Ovis aries: one gene and its partners. The protein of the gene in region 3 interacts with the protein of the main gene of each other region in a pairwise test. Links are inferred from orthologs where the notes say so. Each region holds a gene or a part of one and is shown on either strand. Other genes may lie near its edges. The genes, in order: MIF, GFER and BNIPL.

Region 1 (2,732 bases), on a different chromosome or scaffold from region 3:
TCACCGTGTCACCCGCTTCCACTACAGAGAACCGCCAAGCAGGCGCCGGCTGCTGAATCTTCCGCTTGGAGTCGCTTGGGTCTCTTCAGGTATCACTGGGCAGGTCACAGGACCGTATGGATTCGCTGCCCCCGGCGGCTCACGGAGACTGGGCGGGGCGGGCAGGAGGGGCGAGGACCGAGCACAGTGGAGGAAGGTCCATCTCACTGGCAGGCCGTCAGGGACAGGCGAAAGGCAAGCACCTGGATTTGGACATAGAGAACAGGCTGCGCGGGCTTGCCTGCTGGGGCTCGGGGGAGCCCCCGAGCTCGAGGCGGGCGTGGAGGGCATCCGTGGTTAACAGAGCCCCGGGCACAGGTGGCCGGCTGGGGTAAGAGCAGGGACGGAAGGGGCCTGGAGCCCGCCTTTTACAGAGCATCTGCCCAGCTGGGCCACGGGACCTCCTGCCTGAGTACACCTGGTCCCACTGGCATGGGGGCCGATGTCCAGGCCAGCATGTATGGGGCCCCCCTTAACCAAACCACGCCTGCCAGAGGCCAAGAGCAGGATCTCCCCAGAGAGATCTGAGACTTGGCCCAACCAGCACGCCGCCCCAGTGCCCGACAGAGCTCCGCTCCCCAGCGCAGCCCCGTGACCAAGGTCTCCTCAGAGAGGGAGCTGGGCAGCCTTTCTGCTCAGGGACGGCAGGGCCTGCAGGCTCAGCCCTGGCCCTGCCCTCTTCCTGCCCTCTCAGGGCTAAGTTCATTCACTCCTTCATTCAGCCAGTATTTAGTCCACGTCTCATATGCCTGGCACCTACGGGGTGCGCCCTGAGAGACCTCCCCCCCAGGGCTCTGTGAGACAGCACCCCCAGAAGACCTGATGGGGTGGGCTTCCCTGAGGAGCTGACATTTTCACCGCTGCAGAGAGGTAGCCCGGTGGACTGAAGCTTTGCGGACTGCCTCTGGGCTCCGTGTGCTCCCAGCCCCTCCCCTGGGCCCCTCCGGGCAATCTCACCCACTCCAAGAGCTGGGTGCAGGAAGGCCCCTGGATGGCGACGCGCTGTGGCAAGCGCTGCCCACATGCAGCAATGACCACCGCTCTGCATCACTCACACGCACAGACACACACGCACACACATACACACGCATGCGCGCAAGACTGTGCCCCTGGAGACTGCGGACACCCAAGGACTCCGCCTGCGACCTCCTGGAGGGCCAGGGGTCCTCTGTCCCGCTAACCGCTGTTCCCAGCACACAGACATCCCTGTGACTAAGCCAAAGGGCTGGCAAACCAGGGAGCGGCCGACTTCCGGCCGCCCGGCGGAGAACGGCTTGGACGGGGCGCGCGGGGCCAGAGGCGGTGACGTCACCGGCCGGGAGCGCGCCGCCGCCCGGGGGCGGGGCCGGCGGTGACGCCGAGGGAGGCGGGGCCACGTCGGGCCGGGGCTGGGCGGGGCGCCGGGCGGCGGTCACGTAGCTCAGGTTCCCGGGCTGCCTTGGCGCGCGCGTCGGTCGGGTCCTGCGTGCCGGTCCCCGCCGTCCCTCGCCATCATGCCGATGTTCGTGGTGAACACCAACGTGCCCCGCGCCTCCGTGCCGGACGGGCTCCTCTCCGAGCTCACGCAGCAGCTGGCGCAGGCCACGGGCAAGCCGGCGCAGGTCTGCGGGGAGGGCCAGGCGGGAAGCGCGGCTCCGGGATGGGGCCCCGGGCCGGGAAGGCGGGCGGCTCCGGGATGGGGCCCCGGGCCGGGAAGGCGGGCGGCTCCGGGATGGGGCCCCGGGCCGGGAAGGCGGGCGGCTCCGGGATGGGGCCCCGGGCCGGGAAGGCGGGCGGCTCCGGGATGGGGCCCCGGGCCGGGAAGGCGGGGGCGCGCGAGCCGGCTGACCGCGGCCCCTCGCCCGCAGTACATCGCGGTGCACGTGGTCCCAGACCAGCTCATGACCTTCGGGGGCTCCAGCGAGCCCTGCGCGCTCTGCAGCCTGCACAGCATCGGCAAGATCGGCGGCGCGCAGAACCGCTCCTACAGCAAGCTGCTGTGCGGCCTGCTGACCGAGCGCCTGCGCATTAGCCCGGACAGGTGCGTGGGCGCCGGTGGGTGGGGGGCGCGCGGCCCCGACGGCCCCCGCACGACCGGCTCAGCGTCGCTTCCTCCCTCGCAGGATCTACATCAACTTCTGCGACATGAACGCGGCCAACGTGGGCTGGAACGGCTCCACCTTCGCCTGAGGGACGCGCCACGGGTTCCCAGGGCCCGCAGCCCTGGCGCGCACGAGTTTCCCTCCCACCCTGCCCCCACCAACCCCGCCTCCCTGGAAGGAGCAATAAACGGTGTGGAGACGCCGGCTGCCTCGGCTCTTTTTGGCTTGCAGAGGAATCGGTGCAGGGCGGGGCCGGTGAAGGTGGAACCGAGGCCGGGACGTGTTATCCCCGGAGTCTGCAGCCTAGCTTTCCACGCCTCAGCCCCCAGTAGAGGGCCCTCACTTGGTTGGCATCCTGCCTGCACCCAGACCCAGGAATCCAACTCAGATCCAGAACCCTCCGTCCCCCCTCCCCACCCCGACCTCCCGCAGAGGCCCAGCCACCACGTGGGTCGGGGCTGGCGGGGGAACAGGGGGAGGGGTCAGAATCCCAGTAGAGGCGCGGAGGGGAGGAGAGAGAAACCTGGGCTCCGTCGGGGTCACTGCCTCGATGCCGCCGCCCACCTCAGTGTCGCTATTTGGGAAATCCCCCTGTTCTGGAACTTGGGAGCC
Region 2 (4,404 bases), on a different chromosome or scaffold from region 3:
AAGACAGAGAAGTTGGAGAAGGGCCAGTGTGCTCACAGCCAGGGACCTAGAAGGACGCTGCAGCCCCTCCCTGCATGGCTGACCCATGTTCCCCACCCCCCCCAACTGAGATGCTCTCCACACTCTCCACATTCCCTCCCTCACCTCTCACCTGGACCACTACAACAGCTCCATGCTCCCCCCTCAAAGCCTGTGGTCCTCACTTGCTGTCGTGAAATCCACTCTCCAGAAGAATCTATGCAAAACCGAAATGGGATCAGGCCAGGGTACCCTCCCCCAAACTTCCCAGCACTGTCCCAGGGTCCTCAGCACACATCCCCAGCTCCTGGGTCAGTTGATGGTGTCCTCAGTGGGCTCCTGGCCACCTCAGGACCTCTGCTCACACCACCCTTCCCAGGTCCTGTCCCACACTGGCCTTTCTGCCCATGCAGGAAGTCAAGCTCCTCCTCCCTCCTGCGTTGGCTCTGACAACCCTCCTCAGCTGATTTCTCATTCTTCAGGCCTCTCTGCCTAAAGGTCAACTCCTCAAGGAGGCCTCCTAGATTTAACACACCCTGTTCATAGCCTCCATCACAGCTTGTATCTAAACACTTATTAGTGTGACTCTTGTTTTTTCCGTCTCGACCACTAGACTGAGGAGGTCAGGGAGGAATGAATCTTGCTCCTGGCCCTGTCCAGAGCCTAGAGCAGTGCTAAAGACAGATCAGGCACTACACAGGTATTTGCAGAATCAATTAATGTGCATATTAATGTACATGTGGAATTAAAGTACATATGGAAGCAGTGGTATCCCTGAGACCACGCCCCACCTGGGTTTAACCCCTTCAGGTAGGCTGTGGGGCTGAGCAGAGAGGAGAGGGGCTGCTCAGTGCTCCCCGGAGTCCAGAGACGCACCTCCTCCTTTGCAGGCTCGACCCGCCCAGCCTAGGCGGGCACCCGTGGCGATGGCGCCGGTCGCCTAGGCGGACTCGCCGAACCTTCAGCTGCACCGCCCTTTGTGCGCTCACAGCCCCGCCCCGCATTGCCCAGGCGCCAAGCACCGGTCCCGGGCGCGCCCCCAGCGGAGGGCACAGAGCCAAGCCGCAGGCACGCGAGAAGGTCGGAGCGGAGCGATGAGGCCGTCGCGGGCCTCAACACGGAGGTCCAGAAGGCCGCAGCCCGAAGCCGCGTCGCTCCCATGGGTCGTCATCCACAACACAGTGACATACTCGAGGAAGCGGGAGCTGTGCTACGGCCGACACAAGACCGGCTCGGGCGGTGGAACGAGGCCCAGGCGCAAGGCTAAGGCTCGGCGCTCCGGCGCCGCGCAAACCGCGGCTCGGGCCTCCGGCGCGTCCCCAGTTCGCACTCCTGCATCTCCCGGGGCGCGGACCCGGGCCGCCAGCCGCGCCCCCGCACCGGGCCCCGCCCCCGGGCCCAGCTCCGCGTCCGCGGCGCGCGCGCCCGGCTTCTGCGGTCGCGCTCTGGCGGCGGCGGCGCGCGCGCTGGCCTGGAGCCCGCCTGGTTGCGGTCGTGGCGGCTGCGCTGGCCCGGCAGGCACTGCGCGGGCGGCATGGCGGCGCCCAGCGAGCGCGGCCGCTTCGGCACTGGGATCTTCCTTCCTGGCGGCGCGCGCTCCGAGGTGACGGACGACCTGGTGACGGACGCGCGCGGCCGCGGCGCGGGTGGGAGAAAAGCCGCTGCTTCGGCCCGGGCGCCATCCGCGGGGCCGGCGTCCGACCCTCCGGCCTCCGAGCTCGCCTCCCCGCGGTGGCCCTGCCGGGCCTGCGTGGACTTCAAGTCGTGGATGCGCACGCAGCAGAAGGTGCAGGCGTAGGGGGGCCCCCACACCTTGTCCTCGGGCACCCTGGACAGGCTCCCCGCCCCCTCCCCGGGGGTCGGCGCTTCCTAACCGTGCCCCCAAGGTAGGCCCAGCCTTTTGGCTCTTGGCCATGTGTGGGCTGGATCGGCCCCAGGACTTTTTCTCCGGTCAGTGGGTCTCCGGCTGGGGCGGAAAAAAAAAAAATAGGGAACTTTGTAGGTTTCTGGTCGGGGAAAACCGAACTGACCCTTGGTCGGCCTCCTTCCACAGCGGGACAGCAAGTTTAGGGAGGATTGCCCTCAGGATCGCGAGGAACTGGGCCGCAACAGCTGGGCTGTCCTCCATACCCTGGCTGCCTACTACCCCGACCTGCCCACCCCAGAGCAACAGCAGGATATGGCCCAGTTCATACATTTATTTTCCAAGTTTTACCCGTGTGAAGAGTGTGCCGAAGACATAAGGAAAAGGTGAGTCGTGTCTGCAGAGTGTGCAGCCTGGGTCTGGGGCCCCTGGCAGATGCCATAAAGGGGAGCCTAGAGAAGTAGAGGCCGTCGTGGCAGCGGGTTGTCTAGAGCAGGGACCACCAACAGCGGAGGGATTCTGGAGCCATCGCCTTTCTCCTTAAAGGCCAGGCCTGGGGCTGCTGCTGGGGGCTGCTGCTTTCTGCAACCACGGAGTTCCCTCCCCGGGAGGGCTACTCTCATGAGATCCCTTGCTTTGCACTGATGAAGACTCTGGCAGGTTTCCAGGGACTCCACTCTGTCTAGCTTCTGGAGCAGGACCTTCAGTTTCAAGGCCTTGGGAACTCACTGCTTTTGCTTCCAAGAGCCACCTTTTTGGGGAGCCCAAGAACTGTTGTTTGGCAGCCATAAGCATTTCTGGGCTGGCTGTGGGGTAAAAAGGGCAGCCCTTGCTGTTTGGAGCCTGGGCATTTATTTATACGAGGTCTCTTGCTGAGGTGGTGTGGTAGGGCCAAAGGTGTGAAGAAGCAGACCTGGTTTTCAGGTAGGCCTTTATTCCAGCCCTGCCCCTCCACACGCTGCCTGGGGCCAGGGACGCTAGGGTGAGGCCTCCTGATTGTTATGAGGCTGTAAAGTGGAGACCTTGTGCCTTAATGTCTTGCCCGGGGCTCTTGTCAGGGTTTGCCACGTGCCCTAGGTAGGGGTTGGAGCAGGCCTAAGAGTCAACTGGGACTTGAGGCTGGAGGGTCAGCTCCCTTCTGGGAATTCCTCAGAGCATGAGGGCACCCCTAAATCTAGGCCCCAGCTCTCTTCCCTGGATTGGGCAAGCCAGGAAGATGGTGGGGCGGGCATGCTGGGAGCACAGCCTGCCCCCTCCTGCACGTGCTCCCCCTCACGCAGGATATACAGGGACCAGCCAGACACGCGCACTCGGGTGAGCTTCACCCAGTGGCTCTGCCGTCTGCACAACGAGGTGAACCGGAAGCTGGGCAAGCCAGACTTCGACTGCTCACTGGTGGACGAGCGCTGGCGCGACGGCTGGAAGGATGGCTCCTGTGACTAGCCAGCGGCTGAGCCTGGGGAGGCCCGGCCAGAGGGGGCGGGGCTCATTAAAGTGCCATCACACACAGAGCCGGTGGTGTCTCCGTTGGGTGGTCCCCAGACCCTGCCCTGGGAACCCTCTCCCTCTCCGGTTCAGAGGAGAAGTGGAGGAGCCCGATGCAGGCACCTCAGTGGTGGCCTCCTCACTGTGGGCCTGTGAGGCTATCGACGGGAGGCAGGGGCAGCCCAGGACGTCCCTTCCCTTCAGGATTTGGCCTCCTGCTCACCCACCCTGCCACCTTCTCCACACAGGAAGCCCACAGGCCTGGCTGGGCACCACCATCTCGCCCCTCAGGCCTGGCCAGTGTCTCCCCACCTTGTAGTGAGGGACAGCATGGGATAGTGACTGTAGCCCCGGAGGCTGTGCGCTGTTTGCACATCAGGAAAGAGGCTTATGGGCCGAACTCTGCTGCTCACCTCCAATCCGGCCTCTGGCCTTACAGGTTCCGTGGAACTCAAGACCAAAATAAAATGCTGGAGAAATGACCGAAGCCCTGGCTTCAGCGTATTTTGTGCTGGGACTTGCAACAGCGGACAGGCCTGCTGCTTCCTTATCTGGGTTCTGGCTCCCCAGGAGAAGGGGGCCTTTCCAAGGCCAGGGTGGGCTAGGATATTCAGGAACAGGAGGCTGAGTTGCTGGAGCTGAGGGAGAGTGGATCAGAGGAGGGGAGGTTGAATGACAGAAGGTCCTCAAGGCCCCAGTAAGGATGTGGTTCTGACACCCAGCTCTGACCAAACATGCATCGTGGAGGATCTGGAGCGGAGGGACGGCAAGGTGTGACTTGAGCTGGAATGTGGCGGAGGTGGCCGAGAGTAGGGAGGAACACCTACTCCACAGCAGCTGAGAGGGAAGCTCACCCCAGGGTGGGTGGCAGACATCACTGGATACATTCTGAAGGTGGAGTCCAAGGTGACTACAGGCTTCTGGCCCAAGCCACTGGAAGGAGGGAGTTGCCCAGTGTGTCTGAGATGAGAAGGCTGTGAGTGGTGCAGGTTTGGGGGTGACCTAGACCCAGCTTTAGGGCCTTCCCAGATCCTCTC
Region 3 (3,064 bases):
CAGGGGATAAATCACAGGTGCCCACTACACCCTCCTGAGATTTGATAGTTTGCTAGAACAGCTCACAGAACTTGGGAAAACAGTTTACTTACTAGATTACAGGTTTATTATAAGAGGATACAGCTCAGAAACAGCCAGAAGGAAGCAATACATAGGACAAGTTATGTGAAAGGGGAGCACCACCCTCCCAGTACCTCTGTGTATCACCAAATAGGAACCTCTCAGAATCCCTTCAGTTAGGGTTTGTTTATAGCATTGTTCTTTGCCTGGGCTGGGTCTGCATTGCTGTGAGTGGGCTTTCTCTAGTTGGGACAAGTGGAGGCTGCTCTCCAGCTGCAGTGCGCACAGGCTATGGGCACCCGGGCTTCAGCAGCTGCAGCACACGGGCTCAGCAGTGGCAGCAGGGCAGGCTCTAGAGTGCAGGTTCAGGAGTTGTGGCTGTTGGGCTTAGTTGCTCTGTGGAATGTAGAATCTTCCCAGACCAGGGATTGAACTCATGTTCCTTGCATTGGTAGGCAGATTCTTTTCTGTCGTATCACCAGGGAAGTCTCAGTTAGGGTTTTTTTATGGAGGCATCATATGTGGGCATGACTGATTAAATCACTGACCATGCGTGATTTAGCATGACCTCCAATCTCTCTCCCCTTCTCAGAGGGCAGATGGCAAAAGTTCATCCCCCTGATCATGGTCACTTCGCCTGGCAACCAGTCACCCATCCATAGGAGCTTTCCAAAGTCACCTCATTAACATAAACTTGTGTGGTTGAAAGAGACCTGTTATGAATAGGAAAAGATACTACTTTCACCTTTATTGTCAGAAGCCAGGAACAAAACCAAAATGTATATTATTATATTACAGATCTGAAGGACTGGGCAGTGAAGAGGGTGAGAAAAGACTGTGTTAAATAGGCAAGGGTCAAATTATGGAGGTCCCTGCTGCCATACTAAGGCGCTTAGATTTTATCCTGTAGGCAATGAGTTTTAATCAAGGGAATAACATGATCAGGTTTAATGGCTTTTAAAAGATTGAAAGCAACCTAAAGATCTGTGAGGAGGATGTTAATTCTATTACTGTACACCCATGCAATGGGATAGAATGCAACTATTTTTAAAAATGAAGCAGTTCTTTCTATGGCTATGGAAAAATCATGCAAAAACTTAGTGAATATAGAATATTGCTATTTGAGTGAAAATGGGAGGGGAGGGAAAAATGTTTGCTCTAGCAGTGGTGGGTGGGATGGAGGAAAACAGATAAGAATAGGGAGATAGAAGGCTAGTACTAAGGCCAGATAAGAAATGCTAAGACGTTATACCAGGACAGTAAGAGCAGAAAGAATAATTTATAATCTAATGGAAGTAGATGGAGGATGATCTGACTTGAGGGATGGTAAAGAAGTAAGAGTCTTGGATGGCATAGAATTTTCTCTCCCAGACAGTTAAATGGATGGGGTCATTCATCAAGAAAGAATATAGGAAAGAGGAGGAAGAGAAAGAGTGTGAGTTGCACTTGGGGTCTGGTGACTTGGAGATGACAGAGAAACACAAAATAGAGGTGTCCACTCCAGACATTCAAGAATATGGGTCTGGTATCAGGAAAGAAGTCTGGGTTAGAGAGGAGTCATCACCATACTGGCAGTAACTGAAGACACAGGAACAAATGAGCTCACCCAAGGAAGGAAGGAAAAGCATCAGAAGAAAGAAAGAATCTGGGAAAATGGCAGAGGCCATCAAGCTACCATAGTTCAAGGTTGCCTCCAGGCCATTGTCCAGTGACAAAGTGAGGATGATAAGTCACAGGAAAGAGAAATCAGCAGAAGGTTGGGTTGATTGGACAAACCAGGGCTAGTCATCGGGGGAAAATGAGGAATTAGTTGTTGGGGTAATAAACGCTAAGAATCTAAGGAAGTTTCAAGATGCTGAAGTTACGTATTCTGCCTTGTTGATCCTTCCCCATCCCTCTCTTTAGATGAGCTGCCTCGGGCAGAGGGCCTAGGGGCCAGTGAGGCAGCAGAAAGGCTGGGCCACGGTTGTATGTGGGATGTGGCTGGAGAAGATGGTCATCGCTGGAGGGTGTTTCGAATAGGACAGCGGGAGCAGCGAGTGGACATGACTGTCATTGAGCCCTATAAGAAAGTCCTATCTCATGGAGGTAATGGCTATAATAAGTGAAGGGTTAAGAACTGTGACTTCTTGAATAAAATGCTGAAGCTGGAAATTCAGTTATTGGGTTCAGAATCCTTCCTTCAACTTCTAGAGACCCACAGAGATGCTCAACCTAAACAGATGTACTGTCCATCAGCACTTATTTATTGAGTTTTCCCCTTCTCCTCCCCAGGCTACCATGGTGATGGCCTCAATGCTGTTATCCTCTTTGCTTCCTGTTACCTACCCAGAAGCAGCATCCCCAACTACACCTATGTCATGGAACACTTGTTCAGGTGAGGTGGAAGGCTTAAAGGGCTCCAGAGTGGATGTGATAGAGGGAAATGTTAAAAAGCACCCCTTCTCTGATCAGTAACTGACTGTCAAGTCTACAGCAATGTCCCTCTCACTCCCCACAACCCCAAACGCATACCTTCCCTGACAGTTCCATCTGTCCAGGTACATAGTGGGAACCCTGGAGCTGCTGGTAGCTGAAAATTATCTGCTGGTTCACCTGAGTGGAGGCACAAGTAGGGCACAAGTTCCACCTCTGAGCTGGATACGCCAGTGTTATCACACTCTGGATCGGCGGTGAGCCTCTCGGATAAGAGGGCTGTAACTCTCTTATCCTTTTCTCTTTCATCTCTCTATTTTGTTCTTCTATTCGGTCTCTTCTACTTTTTTGTTTTTTGGCCCTGGGATCTCATTTTCTGACCAAGGATTGAACCCCAGGCACTGTCAGTGAAAGCCTGGAATCCTAACCACTAGGGCCACCAGGGAACTCCCTCTTCCACTTTCCTTTGTCCGCCTACAACCCTTTCCAAGGTTCTCCTATTTTCTGTCCTCTCTTGGAGTCAAGGAAATCTAGTTTCAAATCTTGCCTTTATCATTTACTACCTGTATGACTTTGGACAAGTGATTTA

Evidence for each region.
Region 1: the proteins of BNIPL (region 3) and MIF interact in a two-hybrid assay, tested with the Homo sapiens proteins (2 studies listed by BioGRID and IntAct). The link is inferred for Ovis aries from reciprocal best matches to the Homo sapiens genes BNIPL and MIF.
Region 2: the proteins of BNIPL (region 3) and GFER interact in a two-hybrid assay, tested with the Homo sapiens proteins (2 studies listed by BioGRID and IntAct). The link is inferred for Ovis aries from reciprocal best matches to the Homo sapiens genes BNIPL and GFER.

What each region holds. Positions count from the first base shown.
Region 1 is NC_056070.1:71,339,003-71,341,734, forward strand, and holds MIF (macrophage migration inhibitory factor), read left to right. Parts: upstream 1-1,532; coding exon 1,533-1,640; intron 1,641-1,886; coding exon 1,887-2,059; intron 2,060-2,141; coding exon 2,142-2,208; downstream 2,209-2,732.
Region 2 is NC_056077.1:2,061,720-2,066,123, forward strand, and holds GFER (FAD-linked sulfhydryl oxidase ALR), read left to right. Parts: upstream 1-1,534; 5' UTR 1,535-1,552; coding exon 1,553-1,804; intron 1,805-2,071; coding exon 2,072-2,268; intron 2,269-3,162; coding exon 3,163-3,325; 3' UTR 3,326-3,854; downstream 3,855-4,404.
Region 3 is NC_056054.1:100,975,296-100,978,359, forward strand, and holds part of BNIPL (bcl-2/adenovirus E1B 19 kDa-interacting protein 2-like protein), read left to right. Parts: intron 1-1,965; coding exon 1,966-2,148; intron 2,149-2,334; coding exon 2,335-2,437; intron 2,438-2,600; coding exon 2,601-2,732; intron 2,733-3,064. UniProt on the Homo sapiens protein: May be a bridge molecule between BCL2 and ARHGAP1/CDC42 in promoting cell death.